Linked DNA regions of Struthio camelus. The protein of the gene in region 3 interacts with the protein of the main gene of each other region in a pairwise test. Links are inferred from orthologs where the notes say so. Each region holds a gene or a part of one and is shown on either strand. Other genes may lie near its edges.

Region 1 (7,986 bases), on a different chromosome or scaffold from region 3:
CTCCGAAACCTGCAGGGACCAAGCGGCCTCGGGCTAGCAGACCGCTGATGGGAGCGACCCAGCAGCTCTCTGGACTTGGGTGCCCAACCGGGGCGTGCAGGGAGTCAGGGCTTGGCTTTATGGGACTTCTCAGGTGGCGCCTGCTCCTCCTCGAGGCCCTGGGACCAGGCTCGGGGGGGCTTCGCTGCCACGTCCCCCCCAGCAGCAGCGAGCTGCCGCGTGGTGCTGCAGGTGCCACCGCAAACCGTGCCCCAGGTGCCCTGACGCCTTCGGGCTGCTTTGCACTAAGCAGCAGGAGGGGGACCTGCTCGCGCGTTCCCAGTCTCTTTTGGGGACAAAGTGCTGGGGCAGGGACGGATGGGAAGAAACATGGGATGAGCTGGTCGGAGATGCAAACCTGCCTTTGGGCTGGCGGTACGTATCTGGCAGCTCCTCTGCAGAAGGCTGCGCCTGTCCCGATCCCCTGCGCCCCGGCCCGCGCCGTGCGGGGAAGGGTCCTGGCGCGGGTTTGCCAGGGTGAACGCCCCGCCGGCGGGAGCGCTGAAACGCTGGGTGGCATGGGGGCTCGTGGGGCAGGGCGCTCCGGGTCCCCCTCTCGTCCCCGTCCCCGAGCAGGGGACGGCACCGCGGCGTGGGGCAGGGCTCCCTCGTGCCAGTGACTCCTCCGTCGCCCTGGACGGGATCCTGGGCTGCCCAGGGCTTTGGGGCAGGGCGAGGGAAGGCCGGGGCCGCGGTCCGGGGCAGGGCTGCGGCTGGGACGTGCCGGGGCGGGAGGGAGCCCCTCGCGCGGGGCCGAGCGGGGCGAGCCGGGCGCTACACGCAGGTGCAGTCCTGGGCCAGGATGTTGGGCACGGTCTCGTACTTGAAGGAGTAGCCGCCGTCGGAGGTGGTGCGGACACGCAGCGAGCGCATGGTGCCCGGCAGGGCGGCGCAGCAGAGCTGGACCCCCAGCCGGTGGCTCAAGCCGTGGCCTTCGGAGCAGCTGCCGTGGCAATAGTGGAAAACGAAGCTGCTGGGGTGCACGATCCAGTTGTCCCAGCCCAGCTCCTCGAAGGAGATGTTGAGGGAGGCCCGGCGGCAATTGGTGTGGGCGGCCACGTCCTCCGACGGGCGCTGCAGCAGGCCGAGGGCGGCCGGGGACCAGGGCACGGTGGAGCGGCGAGCCCGCTCGCTGCCCTTGGCCCGGGTGGTGGCCACCAGGAAGGGCATCTTCTCCCCGTCGGCCAGGCAGGGGCAGCCGGGGCAGCGCACCAGCAGCACGAAGAGCGGCTGCGAGATGTGGGGCAGCAAGGCGGGGGCGAAATGAAACACCGTCCAGTGGTCGGGCGCCTGCACCGCCGTGGCCACCACGGGCACGCGGCCCTGCGGCGACAGGGTCAGCACGTCCGGGGCCGAGTGGTTACGGGCGGCCGCGGGGCCGGTGTAAAACCAGAGCTGGGCCGATGTCACGGCGCGGCTGAGGGTGTGGGGTGACGGCTGGAAGAGGTAGGTGAAAATCCCTTCTTCCTCCAGCAGCTTGTCCGGCTGCGTGGGCTCGCAGGGCACGTCTGCAAGGGGAAAAAAGCACCGGGGTGCTGCAGCAGGTGCCCGCGCCGGGGCACGCCGCCAAACGCCCTGCGCCCTGACCGCGTGCACAAGCCGCCGGGACGGGGGAAGGAGGCACCCCAGGGTGTCCCAAAGCAGGGCGAGAGGCTGGGGTGGTGCAGAGGGGGTCCCCGAGGGTGCCCGCCGCGCAGGCCTGGCGGCGGCCGGGCGCGGGGCAGCTGACATCTAGCGCTGCGCAGCAGCTACTGCACGGCACGGCGCCGGCCGAGCAGGTGCCTGCGCCGCGGCTCCGGGAAGGGCTGCTGCCCGGCGCTTCCCCGGCCTCGCGGACAGCCGGCAGGCTCAGGCCCACGGGGCGAAGCGCCCGCCGCCGGGGGGCTTGGAGCCTGTGTTGCGTGGGCAGGGTCGGGGCTGGGGCAGCACGTCCTGCCCCTCGCGGGCGTTCGGGCTGGGGAGCCCCGTGTCCCCGGCGGCTGCGGCAGAGCGTGGGCTCTGGCCGCCTTTCGGGGCAGCTCAGTCTGACCCTGCGGGCTGCGGAGGGGGACTGAAGGCTGGCAGAGGCTTGCTGGAGGCTCCCATGGGGTGTGGGGCGGAGAGGGGGTCCCAGTGTGCCCAGCGTGGGTTGCTGTCCCAGTGGGGAGGCCGTTCTGCCCCCCGCTCCCGGCCAAGCGGCAAGATCTGCCCGGGGGACAGCCAGGGCTGTGCAGCAAGCAGCTCCCTGGGGCCGGGGCAGGCTGAGCCCTGGCGGGAGGCCAGCTGTGCCCCTCTGCACCCTAGGCTGATCCGTTAGTGCTGCTCAGTCCCCTAGCATCCTGCCCCCATCCCTTTCCATCCTGCCCCTGTCCCTTAGTGTCCTGCCCTGTCCCCTAGCATCCTGCCCTGTCCTCTCCTCATCCCTCTCCGTCTCTCTGCATCCCAGCTGGCTCAGGCAGTCCCCAGCCTGTCTAGCTGTCAGCACCCTGGCCTGCCTCTTGTGCCCCTCACCTGCCCTCTGCCCCTCTCCCTGCCGGGTCCTGGGCTGACCTGCCTACCCCTGCCTGCCTTCCCCTTCCGCCTCATGGCTCTCCGTCACATTTCAGCCACCCCTACGTCCCAGCCTGGCTTACCTGCTTCCTCTGTCCCACACCAGCATCATAGTCCTGCTGCATGCTTGATGCCCTGACCCACCAGCCCAGCTTAGCTCTTCTGCCCTCTCCATCCTCACAGGGGCTTTCTCACCTGTGGATGGGAAGAGGATCACCTGGGAGGTGTCCTCCAGCTCCTCGTGTGGGACTTCTGGGGTCTCCAGGACGTCTCTCCGATGCATCTTCCTCCCCTCCTGCCGGGGCCCCTCCTGGGGTGCAGGGGGGCTCAGATGCTCCAGCACCCGTGCCCGGACCTTGGCCAGGATGAGCTGCCGGTCGGCGCCAGCGCCGGTGCAGGCGGCCAGGGCGGCGGGGGGCAGCATGGCTGGCAGCAGGTGCAAGAGGAGCAGCATGGCCGCGGGGCGTGCGGTGGGCCGGCTGCTCGGGGGGCTCTGCCGTGGGTGCCTGCCTGCAAGCCCAGCCCGTCTGCCCACTGCGCGCCGCCTGGGGCACGGTGGCATTGAGACGTATCTGACACTGACGCAAACGTCTGCTCGCCGTGAATATTATCTCTGGGCAGCGAAAGCGCTGAGACGTCTGGAATGCAAGGACTGCAAGGACAGTGTGGTCTGGGGGGGGGGGAAGGCGCCCAGGGAGGGGGGCGCGGGGGTGATGCTGCCGGGGCAGTGGGTGCACGGGGCTGGGGGAGGCCAGGCTGCAGGCAGCGTGCTGCCGTGAAGGCTTTGCTGTGCCAGTGTGGATGGAGGGGCACCCTGGGGCGAGCGTGGCAGCTGCCGGTGTGGGGTGTCCCCATGCTGGAGCAGGGTGAGGGAGCTGCGGGCTCAGGGCTTCTGGGGGCACAGGGGGAGGTGATGGTGGCTGTGCTGGGTGATGAAACCTGGGCAGACACCTAATGTGGTCCAGAACCTTGTGAGGCCCAGATGTGGGGAGGGACTTTAGGGGTGGCAGGCTGGGCATGCTTGTGCTGGAGATGTCTTGGTCACCTCGAGGTCGTTGGGGAGCAGGGACATGAGGAGGGAGCCCGAGGAAGGACAGATTGGGGAAGGGGGAACTGCGGCATCTCCAGGGCAGCCTGTGGTGGGCAGGAGGCGGCTGACAAGGTCCCGTGATACGAAGCAGGAGGGATGGGAAAAGGACCCCGTGCAGCCTGGGACAGGCAGTGGCCAGGGAAAGGCTGGGCCAGCCTGCGATGGAGTTGGAGGAGGAAGAAGTGAGGCAGAGCTGAGCCAGCTGGAGACCCTACAGTAGCACCAGGTGAAAGAGGCCACAGTGCCCTTTGGGTTGCCTGGCTGCAGACTTGCTCCTGGGAGCTGGAGCTGCCTGATGGCAGCTGGCTGTGAGGGGACCCCCTCCCCCCCCCAGTGCATCCTGCCCTTCTTCCTGCGGCTGCCTGCAGGGACAGTGACAGGAGTCTGGTGTCCAGGAGTCTTGTCTCCAGGAATCCTGCGTGTCTGCATGGTGGGATGCAGCTTTTGTGCCAGCCCACTCCTGCAGCAGCCCAGTGTCCCATGCAGTGCATCCTGTGTGGCACATCCCATCCCGCTGCAGCCTGGCATCCCATGCAGTGTGTCTCATATGGTGTGTCCCATCTCGCTGCAGCCTGGCATCCCATGCAGTGCATCCCCTGTGGCATATCCCCTCCCATGTGGTGTGTCCCATGCAGCATGTCCCGGGTGGCATGTCCCATCTTTGTTCAGCCTGGGTCCCACACAATGTGTTTTCTCCTGCGGCAGGCTGACCCCACACCGTGGCACCATTGAGCCTGCCGAACGCTGGAGCCCTGGAGGTCAAGGACTGTCTCCCCACTCCAGGCAGGGCCGCTCTCCTGCTGGGGCGCTATACATAGGCCAGCCCTTCCCAGCCAAGGCACTGAATGGAGCAGGCTCAGTCTTATCAGCCCAATGTGTCATCAGAGGGTATTTTTGGGGACAGCAGCTGCAGGCATTTGTAACGTTTGGTCCCTGCATGCTGACGTCCAGGAGCAGAGCTGGGGGAGGCAGCAGGAGCTGGGTGCCGGTGCTGGGAGACACAGGGAAGAGGCGAAGGAGTGAGGTACGTGTGTGGGGCAGGGGACTGTGGTGTGGGGGCTGCGTGGGGCAGGGGGATCGGGGGGACACGGGGGCAGCTGGAGGGGAGTAGCAGAGTGGCCAAGCCGTCGGGGCTGTGCCTGTCTGTGGGAGCTGCTGTTGGGGCAGCCCGTGGGACTAGAGGAGCATCTGGCCGGGAATGCCTCACTGAATGAATGCATTGCCTGCAGGTAGAGGTTTGGGAGGAGAATCTGGCCCTGGTCCCTCCTTCTTGGGGACCCCGGCCCCGTCCCACCCTCCCCTGCCCTTTCGCTCAGGCAGTATCTTGGCTTCTCTCTCCCCATGTCCTGCCCTGCCTGAGCAGTGCAGAGACACCTCTGCCCCCAGCCCCGGTGACGGTGTGGGCAGAGGCCAGGCAGAGAGACCACGCTGCCGCTCTCCAGCCTGTGATGATGGATATTGTCACCTGCGGGGCTGGGGGTCGAGTCGGTGTCTTGGCTGCCTGGCAGCAGGATCGGTCCCTACAGCGTTCCCTCTGCACCCCTGGGGCTTGAGCGCCTGGTTATTTCATTTAGAGTTACGGCTTTTGATACCTAATGGCTGGGGTGGGGGATCCTGCCTTTGCAGCCACGCTCTGGAGCAGGGACCTCCTCTCCGTGGGGAGCCCCTCTTTGCCCCAGGCAGGGAGCTCTGCTGGGAGCCCTGCTTCCCTGTCCTGCTGAGCCGGGGAGAAAGCACCCGGATCCGGCCGGATTCCCCCCCGCCCCCCGCCATGACAGCCCCTTATCAGCACCTGCGCCTGAGCCAGCCCAGATGCTGCAGGAATGTGGCTCTGCCACCACCCGATACCGCAGGAATGCCCCCGCGGGTGGGGACGGCCGGGGCTGGGGCCCTTCCTGCCTCGGCCCCAGCCCCTGCCCCATCTCCCGTCCCCGGCACCCCGCGTGGAGCTGCCTTCGCTCCCGTGCCCCATCCAGCCAGGGGCCCTGTGCTCCTGGAGCTGGGGGTCCTGTCTGTACGCATATACAGCCGGGGCTGTAGGCACCTTGGGGCACGAAGCACTGTCTTCTGCCACCTTTCCCACGGCTGTTGGGCAGAAAAATGGCTGGTTTGGGCTGAGGCTGGAGCATATTCAGGGAAGCGCCAAGTCAGGCAAACAGCATGTTCGTGGGGCGCTGGCATCCTGGCTCAGGCCCCCGCCGCCCCCGGGAGGGCTTGGGGCAGCCCGTGTCCCTGCAGCCCAGTGGGGCAGGGGGCTCGGAGCGAGGGGAGGAGATGCAGTGCTCCTGCTGTGCTCGCGGGGCGCAGGGGGTGCCTCCCGGAGGTGCCCCGCACCAGGGCCGTAGCTGGAGCCTCACCCCAGCCCCGGTCTGTCCGTGCATCGCTCCAGGTTGATGATCCCCGTTGCTGTCCCGCTGAGCTGCCCGCTGTGAGGCCGGGGAGGCCGGGATGGACGGGTTTGCAGGAGCACCCAGGTTCCTGGCCTACCCGCGCACTTTCACGGTGCAAAACGGCGCTGACGCCGTCCTGAAGTGCCAGATCGCGGGCGACCCCCGCCCCAGCATCCTCTGGGAGAAGGACAGGACCCCGATCGAACCGTCAGGCCGCTTCCATGTGGAGGCCAAGGGCAATGTCTACAGCCTGCTGGTCTCCCGAGTGACCCCGGAGGACAGCGGGCTCTACGTCTGCAAGGCCAAGAACAACGTTGGCGAGACCTATGCTGCTGCCACACTCAAAGTGGAGGCCGGGGAGCCCCAGGAGGAGGGAGACCATGAAAACAAGCCACCCGTCTTCCTGGTCCGGCCTTCGTCGATGCGGGTGTGCCGGGGGGAGGACGTGATGTTCACCTGCAGGGTGTCAGGGCAGCCCTGCCCGGTGCTGCACTGGGAGAAGGATGGGCACGAGCTCTCCGACCTCTTTGAGAGCAGTCATTTCTCGGTGGGGAAGGAGCCTGAAGACTGGCACTTCCTGAAGCTGTTCAGCGCTCGGCCCCCGGACGGGGGGGTCTACGTGTGCCGGGCGCGGAGCGGCTCCCGGGAAGCCCTGGCTGCGGCCGTGCTCCTGGTCGAGCCCCTGGCGCCGGGGCTGCCAGACGAGCGATCCCGCGGGTCCCCCGGGAACGGCCTGGAGCAGCCGGGAGAGCGGCAGCAGCACCGCCGCCGGCACGCCGCCGTCCAGAGCACCGTGCCCGAGGGCTGGGCGCTGCCCAACGGTGAGGTGCCTGCCGGCGTGCCGGGCGCCAAGGCGTTCGCCGTGAGCGCGGGGAAGCACGCCAAGTTTCGCTGCTACGTGACCGGCAAGCCCAAGCCGGAGATCGTCTGGAAGAAGGACGGGAAGCCCGTCACCCCGGGGCGCAGGCACCTCGTCTACGAGGACAGGGAGGGCTACTTCATCCTCAAGGTGCTGTACTGCAAGCCCCAGGACCAGGGGCTGTACATCTGCACCGCCTCCAACACGGCCGGCCAGACCCTCAGCGCTGTGCAGCTCCAGGTGAAGGGTAGGTACCGGCCCACGGGCCGCCGGGGCTGCGGGGGGCTGCGGGTGTGCTTTTGGGGCTGTTTGCCTAGCAGGGGCGCATCTGCGCGTGCACGTGCATGTCAGGGCACGCGGGCTGAGCAAGCGCTGCTGGGCTCCCCTCCCAGGGGCTCGGGCAGGCCTGGGGGCGCGCGGGGGCCGGGGCGCCTCTGGGGTCTGTCGAGACGGGGCCAGCGGCAGGCGTGGGCTGCTGGGCTGCCCCAGGGGCTGGTAGCTCCCGTGTTTGTCCCCCCGCCATGCCCCTCTCCTTGTAAGCAGAGGGGTGATGTTTCTAGGGGGCTGCGCGTGTCAGGCCGCGAGCAGGGAGGGGGCGCGACATGCTGGTGACAAATTCCCCTGCAAGCGCAGAGCAGCTTTGGCTGGGAGCCTTGCAGGGCACGGCACCAAGCGTCTGCGCTGGCGACAGCCCCGTCCCTCTGGCAAAGCCTGCACGGAGCCCCGCTGCCAGCTGGGGATGCCAGGACGGCCCCTCGCCGAGGGCGATGCAGCACCTGGCGCTGCCCCGCTGCCAGCCCGCCGGCGGCCGTGCACCCACCCCACGCGCAGCGCCGCCTGCCCGGACGCCTGCTGCGGCGTGCTGCCCTGCACGCTTCTGCATCCCCGGGAGCTCGCCGCTGAGGTGCTGGCGGCATCGCCTGGCTTTGCTGACCTGCGCCGTGTTTCCCCTCGCTCTGGGAAATCGCTCCCCGGGGCAGCGGCCGTCACAGGCAGCGGGGGCTTTTGCAGCGCCATTTGGCATTGCAGCACCATGAAGGGCCCCTCCTGGGAGGGGGTCTGGCTCCAACCCTGCTGCA
Region 2 (8,279 bases), on a different chromosome or scaffold from region 3:
TTCAACTATATTTCTTATAAAGCAATACTAGTTTTCTGAAGAAAGTTGGCTTACCTACAGTATTTCAGTTAAAGTAAATGTAAACAATAAGTGTAATACTATTAAGACAGCCAGAAGTCAAAAAACTATTACATAATTAAGCTGGTTATTTTAAGCACTTAAAACCTGTTGTAAAGACATTCGCACAAATACCTGGGTGAAGACAAAATTGAAAAAAACACCCATTCCATTCTAAACTGAAAAATTAACGCAACTTTAACTTAAAAATATTATACCAGTCATTTCATATGAACTACTCTAGAAAGGGGAGAGAACACTTGGGGGGGGGGGGGGATCCGACTTAAAAAGTACAAGTCAGTAGTTACAGTTGCATTCCTAATAATAGTTACTTACAATTACAGCAAAATAATGAACCAGACACTTCTAAAGTTAGTGTCATGATGGAATGAGATGGGTTTGTAAAACACGGGGTTTTTTTAAGTGTTACATTTCCTACTTTATTATACAGATGTCTCACCTCATTTGGCTCCCTGGTGACTGCACAACTGTCTAACACAGTTATACACAAGGACTACACAAATCTGCATTGTATACTACAGGTAACAGACTACTGAGCTTTACTTTTAGTTACTTGTCCCTAATAGCTGTAATACTCAAATCAGATCTTAACATAAGACTGCACTTTCAAAGCAAGCAAAAAATCCAGACACTAGAACAACAAGGTTGCATCCATGTATTTGTCTATATTTTTTTCACTGAATGCACCACTTATTTTTGGAGCTGAAAGTATACATTAAGACACCAAGTATTACATGATTTTAGAAAAAGCCAGAAGTTTTATATTTCTGCCCTCTAATATCACTTGTTTCAATGTACTCCAAAAAGCTATCAGAGTCCCAAGAAACATTAGATGTACAATCATGCATACTCTTTCATAAAGACTAACTGTAAAATAAGAATTCACATGCTTTTGTAACTTCCTTAAAATAATTTACACACACAGAAATCTAAAATAATCCTTCCTTCACTATTTGCGGAGGAACTTCACTAATTTATAACCATAAAAATCTCAGCCATCAAGCTAAAAATGTTAAACAAGTTTATTTACAGCACACAACACAAAACTACTTGCTAATACTTCCCCTCCAACACTATCAATAGTGCCACTCTGTCAAAAATGCCAGTATGAACAATGGGTTTTCTTTTTTTTTTTAAAACCAATCCATTGCTTAAGACTGGTAAGTTAGGGAAAAATATGCAGAATACCAAGTCCAAGGACATGCAGCTACAGACCACCAGGCACATGCATTTCACAGCTAAAACTGACAGCTACCTGCAAACACAGAATATTTCAGAAAACAGTCGACTCTCCCTCAGATTGAGATTGACATTTTGTAGTCCATTACACAAAAAGCTATGTCAATCAAGGCAAAGAAATCGCACAACTGGAACAGCTCTAAGCTATTATGAAGTAAAGTTCACTAGCGCAGCTTTGCAATCACTCCAAGTAATAGAAGCCAGAGTCATCGGGGCTGTCATTTTAAGTTACAGGATCAGTTCATAACTTGTTTTATTTGACTGTTCCAAAGTGTCTCAAGTGTTTGATTTCATAGAAGACTTGCATTCCAAAGTCACCTGTCTTCCATACAATGCACCAAATTTACATTAAGCCACATCACGTGAATCACAGGAAACGAGTTTTATATCCAGTAAAGTGTCATTTAAACAAAGAGCTAGTACTTCAGTGAAACGATACATCAAACGTTTCAAAGTGAAATATCTTGGGGGGGATGCAGAGAAATCATTTCTGAATATATGAAGTTTTATAATCGCAAAGCAAACATGTGTTAGGTATTGAAAAGATTCAGCAAGATGTGGTTTTGATTCCTTAATATATTAGGGTCACAAGTTTCTAGGAAAAGGCTTAGTCTGCAAACTCCTTTCAAAAAAAAAAATATTGAGGCATATAGAAACAATAATCTATTGCTTACAAACAATATCGATCTACCCAGAAACATTTTAGGGAGGGGAAAAGTCTTATGAATAGGAGAAAATGGAGCAGGGTGGGAGAATGAATAGCCTAGTGCAGAGGACTAAAGCAATTCTCCACATGCAACCACCCAATTTGGGACAGTTTCAGTGAAAACCACGCGTTTGCTAGCGTAAAAGCAACCTTTCAAGCAGCACGGGAAGGCTGGAGATGCGGGAGGCTTCAGTGCTACATTTCCCACCGCTTGCAGGCGGGCGGGCAGGGGCGAGGTGCTCCTTCTGCCGGAGCAGCAGCCCGCGAAGCCTCCTCCCTCCATAAAGGCAACGCTCCGGGTCACGCGAGATGCGCTGCCCCTCGCGCGGCGCCAGCGCCCCGCAAAAAAAAAAAAAAAAGAAAGAAAAAAGTGAAAAAGAAGAAAAAACAAAGCGGGGGGGGGGAGGAGGGGGGAAGAGAGCCAGGTGGTACAAAGCGAACCGCCGCCACTAAGCCCCGCACTCCGCCGCTCCAAAACCCCTGCCCGAGGGCGAGCGGCTCCGCGGAGGCTCCGCGCGTGGGGGGGGGGGGGAGCGGGGCGCAGCCCGCGCGCGGCCCCCTGAGGGGCGGCGGGGGGGAGGGGAGGCGAAGGGCGGGCGCCCCCCCCTCCCCCGCGCTCACCTTGGCTGACGAGGCGCAGCGCGTGGGTGAAGGACGGGTCGAGGGAGTCCTTCTCCGCCATCAGCTCGGGCAGGTACTTCTCGTCCATGGCGGCGAACCCAACGGGGCAGCCGGCAGCGACGCGGGGCCGGGTCCCAAGCGGCGATAAATCCTTCGAGGCAACGCTCCCCCCCGGCCGCCTCCCGCCCGCCGCGGCGGGGACGCAGCCAGAGGGAAGCGCCGCCAGCCCCCGGCCCAGAGCGGGCAGGCGATGGGGGCGCAGGCCGGGGGACGCCCCCCACCTCCAACCCTCCTCCCCCTTCGCTCCGGCCGCGGGTAAATCCCTCCGCGGAGGCACAACGGGGCCCCGAAAGCCGCTCAGCCCCTCCTCCCCCTCACACGCGCGCTCAGAAGAAAAAGGGGAAGAACGAGGGGGGGGAAAAAAAAAAAAAAAAAAAGCAGCCAGCCGACAAACCGCTCACACCGCGGCGCCGCGCCGACTGAACGGGCGAACCCCTCGGCGCCAGGTTTATATACCCCAGGACAAGCCCCGCCCCCTTGCCGCCCTTCAGCCCCGCCCTCCTGCCTGTTAAGCCCCGCCCCCTCCCCTGCCCCACTGCCCCCGCCCTCCAGCCCCTCCCAATGGGTGGTGCTGGCCCAGCCTCCTTCGCTAATGGCCCCGCCTACTCAGCCGGCGCCTCCTATTGGGTGATTTGGGTTGTCAGTCAGCGGCCCACCGCAGATTGGGATTGGTGGGTGCGCTTCGCTCTCCCCCCCCCCCCGCGGGTGTTGGGGGAAGGGGGGGCGGTCGCGCCGCGCGGGCTGCGAGCGGCGTCGCCTCACGAGCAGCGGCCGGGGCGGCGGTGCCCTGAGGGGACGCAGCGAGGACGGGCCGACCGCAGGGCAGGGCTCTCTCATTAAAGCTGCGCGCTTTCATGACCCTCTCAGCCGCTCATCTCCTTCCCCCCTCTTCCCCCGAGAGAAGGGCCGGCGCTGTGCCCCTCCCGCAGCGTCCGTTAAAACCGCGCGCCGCCGATGAATAAAACATGCAACCTGATAACGGCGAACTCGTTTCGGCGTCTGTGGGCGCTCGTCCGCCGCCGTCTGCGGGTGAGCAACGAGGCGAAGGGACAAAGCGGCGGGGACCTTGTGCCTTCTCCCCCCCCCCCCCCCTCCGGGCCGCCCCCCGAGCTGGGGCAGCAAGGCCGCGGCCGGGCTGTGCCCCCGTACCACCTACCGGGGGGGGGGGGGGGAGGCCCCGGGGGGAAGATTTGTTCCCAAAGGAGAAACAACAGCCTGTTTTAACTCTCCCCCCCCCCCCCCCCGAAATCACTATTGAGCCAGTATTTTGTCCTTTCCTCTCTGGTAGTATAAAGCACTTCATAAGTATGAGCCAAATAATCTTATTTCTGCTCAGTTATGACCACCGCGAAGCGGGTTTGCGAAGTGGCAACCTGATGGAGCTGGAGGAGCTGCCGTTTCCCGCGAGCCCTGCTGGGTGTGAAACCCGCTCCCCCGCCCGCGCCCTCTCCGCTGCCGCCACGCTGGCTGCAAACAGCCCGTTTTACAGGTAGGAGAAGCAAAGCTCGGGATTGTGCTCAAGCGTTTTTTTTTTCCTAGATATTTTTCAGAGGATACACTTAGTATATTAGATCATTACTCACGTTCAGCTTTAGCTTCGAGGCTTTGCACAGCTTCCTTATTTGACCTCAGGAGTTTCATCAATGAACCCTTGGTGACAAAAGCCCGAGGGAGAGACAGAAAATTAGTAAAGCGCTAAAGCCAAAATCGTAAGGCTAGAGTAACGTTTTTAATCAACGTTTATTGGAGAAATCAATAGGGAACTCTCCAGTGATGAGGTACAGTTAAAAGACCACTAAAAAGATTCTTAACTTGTGGTAATAAAATAATGTCATATTTATTATTATACTTAATGCCAAAAAAGTTTTCAATATATCTCAGTTACATCCATGCAAGATGGGGAGGAGAAAAGCTCTGAAAAAAGACTGGCATGAGAAATCACTCACTCAGAACTTAACAAGCAAAGTTAAGGCTCCCTTCCCAGAACTGCATGCGGTCTTTTACCCATAAAACAGAAAGATAAAAAATATAAAACAATATCTGTTATGTTGCAATATGAAATAATTGATTTACATTCCATATACAACCCCTCCAAATATATCTGTCCCAGCACTAATAACCACAAACAAATTTACATTTTTTTAAGTTCTCCTGCGTGACATCAAACTTGAGGATATGAATAAAACAAGCTACTGGGAAAAGTTGGATTACAATGCAGGTTTTATTTCATCCTTCCTTATACAGCTTATACACAACTACTGAAATGCAGCCATCTGTTGTGAAAAAGTCAGACACATACAACTTTACCACAGAACAATGTGTAGGAGGCTAATCTTTATTGAGTGACCTGGAGGAAAATAATCCCTACCTTCACCAGTAAAGCTAAAAAGGTATTTAAAGTCCCTCTACAGCATACAGGAACTCAATCAGAAAGGTAGCTATATTATATGGTATAAAACATAATGCACCTTTCTTGCAAAAAGATTTATTCTCCCTGGTAACTGATTGAATAAACATTTGCTGTTTCAAGAAACCACAGTATTTCTTCCCAAAGTATACCAGTTCCCTCTGATTTATATAGAAAGTATAGATATAGAAAGGCTTACTGGAAGTCTGGAAGACTCATTTCTCACCAGATATATAATAATGTAGCAATTACAAAGTTATGGACGTTATATCCTATTGCTCAAACCCATGCCTGCACTTAACTAGTAGAGTATTTTCTCCATTGAAATTCACTGGGATATAATAAAACAAGAAATGAACAGAAAAAATGGGAAATTGTGAGCAACAGGCTGTAGAAAGCTGCCTATGGTGTGGTGATCTGGGAAAAGTCCACTAAGCATCGTCGTTGCTGTCCAGGAAAAGCAGGAAGCACCAACTCTTTAAGGATTGGTTGCTTTCTTGTTAGCGAAATCTATACAAAACTTGAAAAAGTTGCTTGATCAAGGAACTGCCCAGTAAATAGTAGCTTTACTAGTAACACAATTTTAAGAGCCATGAGTCCAAACTTTCAAAACTCATGACTTACTCCCTAGCAATAAACTAGTTTGTTGTTTTTTACGCACACGTGCACTCTGTTGCTAATACACACATGCTATTTTCAGGAATTTATTTCAGTAGGTAGATATCAGTTAGGAACCACTGTGAGTTGTAATGTCCATTACTTCTCTTAAAGCACCAGGACCAAAATTAACATTTGGAATTATTTAATTATTTAATATTTAGAAACATTTAATATTTAATAGAAGTTTTAAGACCTTTTCATACCTTCACTCTCTGGGGTGAGATTTAACCTCCTTACTTCCTGGACCGGTTGACACAAGTAAGGGGACAGCTGAAGACTGCTTGAAGAGGCTGTAACTGAGCTGCACCTTCCCTCTGGTAGGTAGGAGGTTCTCCATAACTTTTGGCAATTCTATTTTCCTTATTTGCTGGGGCAGCATTATAAGCAGTATTTAGTCATAAAGTCTTTGTTCCTAATACTGTAACTACACCTAAGTATTGTTTTTCCAAACTTACTCTCAGCTCACGCTTTTATTTGCTGTGGCCTGTGTTCATTGATCATACCGAGCTGCCACTGACCATTTAGACTCTGCAGGGGTTTATTGTGTTTTTTTACCTCCGATTTACTTGGTCTCAATTTAAAGACTATAAGAGAAACAGAACAGTTATTTATCTGAGACTTTGGCTCATTAAAATGCATACAGCTGAAGACCTATAGAAGCCGAGTCTATTTTGGGAAAGAGTTTGTCACAAATACCACATCTAGTGAATGTGTCCTTGATGTGACTCACCATAGTTCTGATTAGCATGTTGCTAAGTAGATGCTGGCTTCCTTAGTATTCCAATATATCACTTGCCAATTTCTATTAGGCATATTGAAATTATCATTGCTCTTCTTTCGCTGTTATTCCTGACCTTTTTCTTTTTTTCTTTTTTTTTTTATTTGCACGTGTGTTAAAGTATGAAGAAATAGTCAAGAGTTTTCCGTTATGTCCAGGCATCCTTTTTCAGAAGCTCCTGATGCTTTCTTCCAAATAGCATGGCTTTTTCTTTTACAAGCATTTGCCCCATAGTTCAAAGTTAAGGCTATTTTCATCCCCAAATGAATATTGTTCCAGTAGCAGCCATGCTGATGCCATTTCTTTTAAAAGATTTCTTACATTGCTTTCATATTTCATTCACCCTTTCTTTAAATTTATTTTTTTTTATTTCTTTAAATGTATTTCTAAGAGAAATATTTATTTCTGAGAGAACAAGGTTTGCAGGAAGAAAATATCATGTATTAGGCTAATACAGGTAGAAAAAAGAACATTCTTTCAGACACTTAAACTCATTGCCACCTTATTTATAGCCACTGTAACATGCCATAGTGTCACATGCACCTGTTCATCCAAGTCTTCCACTTCTTTTGCACCTTTTTCCATGGTATTGTGCAGAAGATATGCCAAGCAAGTTGTTGATTGGTTGCTTGTTTTTTTTTGTTTTTTTTTTTTTGTGAGGATCATATGCTTCTTTTAAGTTGTGCTTTTGTATATCACATTATAAAGTCAGTGCTGAAGAAGGCAAAGGTTTATCAAGATTGTTCCACAACGTTTTCTCGTGAGTTTCAACTGTTCCTGTGCGGCTCTATCAGTAACGAAAAAAACAAAATTCATAGTATCCACAGCTCCTTTCTAATAAGCATAACTTCATATTATTCAAGAGCTACTCTAGCTTCTGCCTATTAAGTATCAACCTATAGTGTGTTGCTGTGGCAGATCTAAACTACTACAGTAGAATAAGTAAATGACAGTTTTTCATGTTGTGAAAAACATCATCCGTGATATCATCCAAACTGTGATGCCAGTATCATGTTCTTTCTTCCCTTCCCAATTACTCTAGATTTCTGCCAGTCTTAGTCATCATCTTCATTATGATTTTCAGCTCTTATAGGAAGAAATTTTTTTAATTGCTTTAACCACTAACTCTGGAGAGAGTTTGCTACTTCTCTCTTCTTAGATGCAACCAACATGAATCACTTACAAACAGTTTTCTATTAACTGTGACTGAGTTTTAGATTGCATCTTTCTTGTATCTTTTGCCTGTTGTCATTAGGATTTTGCCACAGCCCTTTTTGTAGTTTCAGTATACTAGAATAACATTAACAACAACTAATTCCTAGGAGTTCTTCTGGTATTTCCAAACTGACATCCATAAATCCATGGGCCCCGATGGGATGCACCCACGAGTGCTGAGGGAGCTGGCGGATGTTATCGCTAGGCCACTCTCCATCATCTTGGAAAGGTCCTGGAGATCAGGAGAGGTGCCTGAGGACTGGAAGAAAGCCAATGTCACGCCAGTCTTCAAAAAGGGCAAGAAGGAGGAGCCAGGGAGCTACAGGCCTGTCAGCCTCCCCTCCATCCCGGGAAAGGTCATGGAACAGCTCCTCCTGGAGGTCATCACTAAGCATCTGGAGGACAAGAAGGTGATCAGGAGTAGTCAGCATGGATTCCCCAAAGGGAAATCATGCTTGACCAACCTGATAGCCTTCTCTGATGGAGTGACTGGCTGGGTAGATGAGGGGAGAGCA
Region 3 (8,268 bases):
CTGGATTCCAACAGGCACACCCCAGGGAGGCACTTCAAGACATGATAAAATACTATAACCCTGTCTGCCTGTACGGCACGACAAATGGCATTAAGAACACATATCACCATGTTGTTTTTTTTAAATAATATGCAGTTGAAGGCTGTATCATAATCTATGCAAGTAGAGGGCAACCAATAGCCTCAATCTTGCTATTTCCTAGTATTTTTAGTGTTTAACCCTGCTTCCTTAAAAATTCATGGAGAGAATGCTAATGGAAGAAAATCCTAGTTTGTTCAAAAAATAGAAGCTCTAGAACATGGGGATTTCTTACAAGAAACTATTCCTGCTGCTAGCCATCCTACATGTTTAGAAATTTTGGACTACAGTTAGAGGAAGCTACTGCCACAGCAATACAATCAATCTTCTCTGTATGTATCCTAAACTGTACTGTTTGCGGACCAGTTGCAAATATATAGACTCCAGTAGAATTTCAACAGAGATTAATCTGTCCCTTTAGTCATCATATTATAGACAATGATTTTCATAATCAATAAATTTCATCAGTGAGCTTCCAATAAATGGCCCTTAGAAGTGTTTTTCTTTCTCTCTTGAAAGCTTTATTCCACTATTCAGATTTCAACAACTTCTCCTTAGCTAGCAAGTCCATTAAAGAAACTAATTTAAGCCATGGCCACTTCTAACTTTTTCTTCCATTTTCACTGATGTTTACCATAACCTCCCTGCTTTTCTCCCATTTTTATTGCCATCTTCCTAACTGCTGTATAACAAATAGACATTGAAAAAGCAAAAGGGTATCTGGGGTTGCTACCAAGGAGAAAGTACCCCCTGGGAATGAAAAGCAACCCATGGCTGCTGCATCTGCTGATTCTAATGGAAACTAATTTAATCTAGTTAGAGGATAGACACGGGGGTTATTAGTGCCAGAGGCCTTCTAAAATATATACATGTTTACCATAAATCCTCATAAACTATTTTAGATTTCACTTTCATCTTTGCAGCTTTCTAGTTTTGTGACTTTGTTGTAACATGGCACTTAATGAAACCACTACAAAATCCTTTTACTATGTAAAACTTTTATCAGCAGGATTTTATACAGTACAGCCTGGGTACCGTCACAGTCAAGAACTGGGTAGCAGGGGAGGGCATCTGCTTACATCAGTAGTGCTGAGTGAATGCATCCTCTCAGCAACTTATATAAGCTTGCATGTAACAACATTGAAAATACTATCCCAAAGCCTGCTCACCCCAAAGAGAAAGACAGTGAAACGACTCATTCATATCCTAGAAAGGAAAAAATCTCTACCAAATTCATCAATACAAGTTAAACTGGGAGGTTATAAATTACAATCTCTTGTGCTTGATGGAAGGAAAAAAAAAAACAAGTAAAAAGTGAATATTGCCCCTAAAATTCTTAGTCCAGCTGAGGAACTTTTCTAAGCCACTACCGGTTCATTATTTTGTCACCTTAATTTTTGAACCGCGCTTATGAAGACACTGAAATTTAACTATTCTGAGCTGTCTTAAGCACGTTAAAAACACTGTACAAACTAACTGCAGCCAACAACCTTAAGAACTGTTGATTTCTTTGCCTTTTGGATCACCTGGTATATACGTTTTCGGTGTACTAGCAGAGATTAACTTAGACAAGCACTGTAACTATGCGCTATTACCCATACAGACAAGATCCCCTAAAAGTTACAAGGCTAATGTGAAAACGTCATTTACAGTTTTAGAGATGTGACGGATATTATTTCCTACATCAAAAGGACTATATTCTCTACAACACAACTTATCAGTAACGTATGCATTATAGTGTGTTTGCAATCTGCCAAAGTTCGTTCAGGCAGGCATAATTTGTGAGTATCCTTTCTAATACGTCTCCTTTTGAACTTCTCTAACACATATGGTACCAATCTTCTGTATTCTCAAATACCCTGAATTCAGTGAAGTTACAAGAAAAGCAGAACAGGACCTGGACTCCTGGGTTTCTGTTCCTAAGAGGAGATTCTGCATGTCCTGGGGGAAGATGGAATAGTTGCTGCACTTCCCCAATTGCAATTTTCCCTTGTCTTCACATGTGCACAAAAATAAGATTGGTATGTTTGTTTCCCTTCCCTCCCTGTACCTGCAAGAGGACTAGGAAAAATTCAGCTCTTCATGATTGCAGCTCATGGAGTAATCCTACTGAACCAAGACATTTGAATGGTGATGGACGATTTCTCATCCTTTTGATGCCACATTTGAGACAACGTACAGGGAAAAGCTGTGACGTTAGCCACGAGCAAGTCCTGTGGCTAACATACATACACACAGTCCAGATGCAAGTGGCTCCGTTTCTTTGGTGCAAGACTGAATTTAATTCTTTCCCCTATACAATTCCCAACTGACCATCTCTCCAGATTACATGACACAAGTATATAAGGTGAAAATGTCTTATGTCAATTGGACTTTCAGAGATATTGATCATCTTTACATACTTCTATTTGATCATTTGTCCCTTCATATAGGTAAAGTTGTCATAGTATAAAGTCCAATTTTACACCAGGCTAAGTTACACAGGTAAGTTCTTCTTCTATTAACCACAGTCATGCCTAGAAATTGTAATCACGTGCCAGGACTGCAGTACGCTAGCTGCTAAACAAACATAAACCTAAAAGGATAGTCCCTGCCCCACAGAGCTTATTACATAAGGTGGGAGAGAGCAAGGAGGATATAGACAAAAGAAAGCAGCAAGACAATAAAAATTAGCAGTATAGAAAGTAGTTATAGTACACTGACATCCTGATATTTATCCTCTATTTTGTAGGCATAGGAAAAACAAACCACCAAACAAGCAAAAGGTTTACTGGGATTTGAATGAAAGAGACAGAGAGAACTTTGCAGATGTTCAAATGTGCAAAATCTCTTCTGAAGTATGAAAAGAAGTATAGGAAAATATGAATATTCTAACTGGGTAGTTAGCAAAAAGGCATGGAGCCTACTGTGTCAAGGTCATTGGAGGAAGGATTTAATGACTCAGTACCATTCAGAGGTGATGGACAGTAAGGAGAGGCTGTGAGTGGATTTAAGAAGGAAGATGGTTTGTTGGATACAGTAAGCAAATCAGAACCATTAGAGAGGGATCAAATTCTCAAACTTACTGCCTAGATAAAAAGAAATCTTCTCAGCAAGGTAGATATCAGGAGAAAAGAGTACCAGAATTTTTTCACTTACTGTGAAACATGGATATATAGTCTTAGAAATACAGCATTTTTCTGGCTGATATTACTGTATCCATTCAGCGATGAATTACAGTACTGAGAACCAACTCTCAAAATGTGGTTTTGGAAAGCATTTCACATTCACCAACTACATGTTTAAACGGAAGAATCCCCTGGCATCACCACTGGCTTGCATACAGATTCACTTATGCACACTCCATATTTCATGAGGTGCCCACATCAGCCATATAACATTACTCACCAGAGGAGTCTTGCTGATTTTTCTCCACTGTTTTTTAGCAAGACAAAGCTTCAGTTTCCTCTGGGGTATACCGTTTCCTCTTCGCATCCCAGGGCACAGAAGAGCAGCTGCTGCCTTTCCTTATATTCCTCTGCTGGCTATAGGGAGTGATTTTCATGCTTGGTGTGTAAGACTTTCATTAGAAGAAATCCATTTTAGGCAGAAGATCTGTTCCTGGCTTGGGAAAAAGTTAGGTTATTTCTTTTGTTACATCTCCGGCCTCACGAAGCAACTGTATTAGGTCTTTTCAGTTTGCTGAAAATCTACGCTGAGTTTCATCTTCTGCAGAGCTTCATATGTTTATGCTTCTGTAACGGAGTTACATATATTAACTTACATAGGACTGATTCCAGATTGTAAAACGCCTTGGAATTCCCACAACATTAGAACGGTGCGAATGGCAGGAAACAGTCTTACCCCATTGGTGTTATAGGAACACGGCCCTCTATGGTCTCTGCAGCAGACTCACACAGAGATTTGGAGGTCAAGCATGACTAACTGAGCTATAGCCAAATGGCTCTTCAGGCTAACTCACACCTTGCATTTAAGAGCTGTAGGTATTTCTGTCCATCTGAGAAGGCTGCAGGGGTGAAGGGGAAGCTATGTAGGATGCAGAGTATTCACAGAAAGTTAGATGGAGAGAACAGAAACTGCTGTCATAAGTCTTCTGTACATATGTGTCAATGTTCTGAGCTATAATTCATAGAAAACCTCCCATCAATTTCAATGGTTTGCAGAGAGAGTCTAAACTATTAAGCTATTTTACAGTTTTCATCAGTAGTTTTGTGCATCAATTCTGTTTGATCTCCATCAGTACAGATGTAATTTGTCAGGCATCAGATCTTCAGGAAGCTCCCCAGGTACTTGTTGATAGTCCTCATAAAAAGTTCGGGTTTATTATACTCCTCTACTAAAACATGTGCAGAAGAACTGCCTTAAATCATCTGCATTTTCAGAAGAAATTTCTAACAAAGCCTATGTTACAGTCTCCAAGCCTTTAGCGATTTCAGCCTAATGGACAGACTAATTGCTCAAGTCTTTGAATCTCTCAATTGGAAAGAGATTGCTACCTGTAATTTTATTTATTAACTGTGCACCTAACTTTAGTTCTCTGTAGGAATTAAGTAAAGGATAACAAAAGGAACATCATCTCATAAAAGCAATACATTTAAGCGGCTAGGAATTAACACCCACAGTTATGGCATAATCCATCGTACTTGCTTCTCTTATCTTCTACATATAACTGAGAAGCCTGCCTGGATAAAATGCAAACAAAGAGAACTTGTGAGAACAGCTAGGACCACTGATGCATATATCTGGATACGTGCAGCAGGAAATTAAAATCAACATTGGCATCCAGGTTCTCACTTTACCCTGCTGACCTTCATATGGGGATTTTGTCGGCAAGTTCCAATTTGGTGAATAGAATTTAAGAGTCTACACAATGAAAAGGGATCTTCTATGTTGGAATGAGACGTACAGGATAGATCATATATGCTTTCTATATTCCAAGACTTCTGTTCAAGAAGCTGCAAATCCATATTAGATTATTCACTTGAGAAACGAAGAATGGTGGTAGCATCTGTATATCTTGCACTTGCCTAGAGCATAATTTAAACAGGAAAGATGATATTCTTTTCAAAAACACAACTGAAGAACTTATAAATGATTAAATAACAAGGTTTTGGACTTCATATAACCTGAACATGGTCTCCTTTCCAGTCGCCACAATCTAATTTCATCCACGGTAAGATCTGAAATAATTTAATTACTGGAGATGTAAAATATACTACACAACTGTAAATTAATCTTGAGGGAGGGAGGGAATGTTTTCATGTGGCTCACACGGGAAGAATGGGGTTATGATAAATACAATCACTACCTACTCTATTGAACACTGCTTTCCAGTTTAACAGATCCAGAGTTTTCCGGCTACAGCACTTCCAGCCCCTACCAATGGAACAGCTCACAATACGAATCAGTTACTTCTTCGGTAACAACTCAGTGATGTTACAAAGAACATGCTCATCACATGAATAAATTCCTCTCATGCACGATAGCCATAATATAAATCTTCAAATGCAAGTCAATTTTTAATGCAGAGGAACAAAAAGATATACCTTCTAGGCTTTCAAGGGAACATGGATGCAGTATCCAACAGGACAAACCACTTTTTGAACATTATATTACTCACTACTGTCTTATTTTAACTCTCCGCATTGATTTGCTATAATCATCATCCTTCTCACTTTGTCACTAGTCTAGTTACACAATGAAAATACATTCTGTAATTAATATATTGCTCTATTGGGGAAATTTATGAAATTGCCAATATTAGTACTGTAATTTATAGTACAGGAAAATGTCTACAAGTGAACATTATCAGCCCACTCGTCATCAAAATCTCTGAATCACACCTCATAATTCTGATTTTCCCCTAAAATACACCTTGCATTGCTTCAATACTTTTTTTAGTATTTCAAGAAAAGGAGGTGTCAAGGGCTCAAAAATGTAAACCAATACAGATTTAAGTATGTCATGCAAAAGCACCTCATCTCAGCATCACGCAAAGCAGATATATTCAGCTATGGTAAGATACAGATTACTTTTTCCCCATTATTCCTAATAGAAAGCATGAGTGACTGTTTAAACAAAATACAACCATATCAAATGCATATTTTTTCATTTGTTATATGTCAAACTGAGGAATATTTAAACCACTTTTTTTTTTTTTTTTTTAAGAGAAAAGATATTTTCCTCTTAATGTGTAATTTAACCTTGACATAATCTGGGAAACTAACCAAAACAAAAGGACTAAATAGTTTTATTTATACAGTGATTCGCTGCCAACAAGGGTTGGATACAATAGCCAGAAGTCAAGTTCCAGTCTTCTGAGTGAAATCCACAATAGAAAGCAATATCATCATTTCACATTTTCTGGAAATAGTCTGACTTTTTTGCTACTCGTTTGTCAGCTCTCCATCAAGCTTCTACCACACCATAATGACCTGTTAGCTACCACAGATTATTCATTACTTAATAAGGTCTTACAGTGTAAGGTCCTGCATTATTTGGCTTTATATATTTGAAGCCTCATTAGCAAAGTTAACATCACTAGTGAAAGACTTAGTCCTGGAAAGACTTAGTCCATTGGAAAGAAAGACTGAGCTGTTATACCATGTAGTAATTTCACAAGTTGTATTAGATACACCATTTAAAGTACTTCCACACTAGTATAGCTATGTTTACATTACGTCTTTTGTCAGTATTAAAAGAAAGTATAATTAACATGCACCCACTCTATGAGCAGTAAAACCAATGAAGTTTGGCTTCCTGATTGGAATCTGAGCACCTGGGGCATCTGACCACTTACTCTCATGAATATAGTAAAGAAAAAAATGTCCATCAAAGCCTCCACCACTTTGGTAGAAACTGGACAGTGGTGTGAAAGTTCACAGAGCTACAACTTGAAAAGGAGCTGAAAGAGGACAGAATCTCTTAAACCTAATTTCACTAGAAAACAAAGCAAAGTAAATATGAAATCTCAATCTAGACTACTGTACCATCAAAATATTATGGTGTGAGTCAGGATTTAAAAAGGACAACCATATTTATAAATATACATGCTAGAAAACATTTAATAATAATAATTTAACAAGTATGAACACAGTATTATTAAAAAAAACAATGAGGAAATAGAATATGTTAACATTCTTTTCAGTATTCTGGAATATTTGAAGTATTTTATTAACACATAAAGTGCTCCTTAAGAAAATATATTTAATATATTCTGGTCATATCACCAACTGCAAACACCTGTGTAACACGTGATTCACACAAGATAAAAATAGTAGAGATCTATAAAAATGCTTGTTCTACCTTTAGCATACTATACTTCTACAGTCCTGCACAGAAAGTTTAAAGCCTAGAATTTACTTAGATTAATTTTTCAGAGATGCCACGAGATCCTAAAAGGACCTTCAGATGTTGTCAAAACTCCCTTAATTTATCTTGAAATGTATAAGCCAACTCACCTTCAATTGCTGCTAAATATTTTCCACCATTCTTCTCCTGCTGGCATTACACTCTCTTCCTAAAACCAGAGCTTAGCATGCTGCAGGCATTAAACTTATTTTGACCTATGCTTGGGGCCAGAAGAAGTGAATACATGTTCTATTTTAATTTCTTCAGAGTCAGCTTTCGAAAAAGGTCAGCATGCAGATACTGGGGTCAAAGCCCATTGACACAGATAATAACGTTACTTTGGTGGACAGGGATGGAAGTTCATACAGGAAGTTTCTATCCTAGTTTACTTATCAGTGGAAGGTCATACACAGCAGAAGTCCCTACGACTGCTTCAGTTGAACCTAACAAATGAGCCGATTAAAAGTTAGTGGAACGATATCTAATTTCTTCCTCTACACTACTTTCAAGAGCAGGATGAGCATCGTGTGGTAACACAGAGATGCCGATGCTACGGATGTTGAGATCACCTTTCTGCAAGCATGGCCCCCAGCCCACACTGCACCCTGCTTTGAGCTCAAGTCTATCCCAGGACAGGCCTAGGCCAAGTCACAGCAAAAATTATGGCAGTCCCACTTCCCGTCTCGTCTGAATGGATTACAATATATGCAATTCACTTTCAGAACCTTACAATTTCTACTTCAGTCACACTCTTCCTCCTTGGCATATGTTTCAAGGAATATCAGTAAAGTATGTTTAAAAGAAGAGTTATTTATATGGTGCCTAATAAGTGGTATATAA

What was found.
Region 1: the proteins of SIAH1 (region 3) and INHA interact in binary tests that used the Homo sapiens proteins (3 or more experiments, as listed by UniProt). The two-hybrid records come from large-scale screens. The link is inferred for Struthio camelus from reciprocal best matches to the Homo sapiens genes SIAH1 and INHA.
Region 2: the proteins of SIAH1 (region 3) and KHDRBS3 interact in a two-hybrid assay, tested with the Homo sapiens proteins (3 studies listed by BioGRID and IntAct). The link is inferred for Struthio camelus from reciprocal best matches to the Homo sapiens genes SIAH1 and KHDRBS3.

Annotation. Positions count from the first base shown.
Region 1 is NC_090947.1:27,735,495-27,743,480, forward strand, and holds the start of INHA (inhibin alpha chain), read right to left. Parts: upstream 3,131-7,986; coding exon 2,764-3,130; intron 1,548-2,763; coding exon 814-1,547; 3' UTR 1-813. Other genes in the region: OBSL1 (obscurin-like protein 1), read left to right, coding at 6,107-7,154. UniProt on the Homo sapiens protein: Inhibins and activins inhibit and activate, respectively, the secretion of follitropin by the pituitary gland.
Region 2 is NC_090943.1:165,592,538-165,600,816, reverse strand, and holds the start of KHDRBS3 (KH domain-containing, RNA-binding, signal transduction-associated protein 3), read right to left. Parts: upstream 3,131-8,279; 5' UTR 2,733-3,130; coding exon 2,645-2,732; intron 1-2,644. UniProt on the Homo sapiens protein: RNA-binding protein that plays a role in the regulation of alternative splicing and influences mRNA splice site selection and exon inclusion. Binds preferentially to the 5'-[AU]UAAA-3' motif in vitro.
Region 3 is NC_090951.1:15,989,197-15,997,464, forward strand, and holds the start of SIAH1 (E3 ubiquitin-protein ligase SIAH1), read right to left. Parts: upstream 3,485-8,268; 5' UTR 3,466-3,484; intron 1-3,465. UniProt on the Homo sapiens protein: E3 ubiquitin-protein ligase that mediates ubiquitination and subsequent proteasomal degradation of target proteins.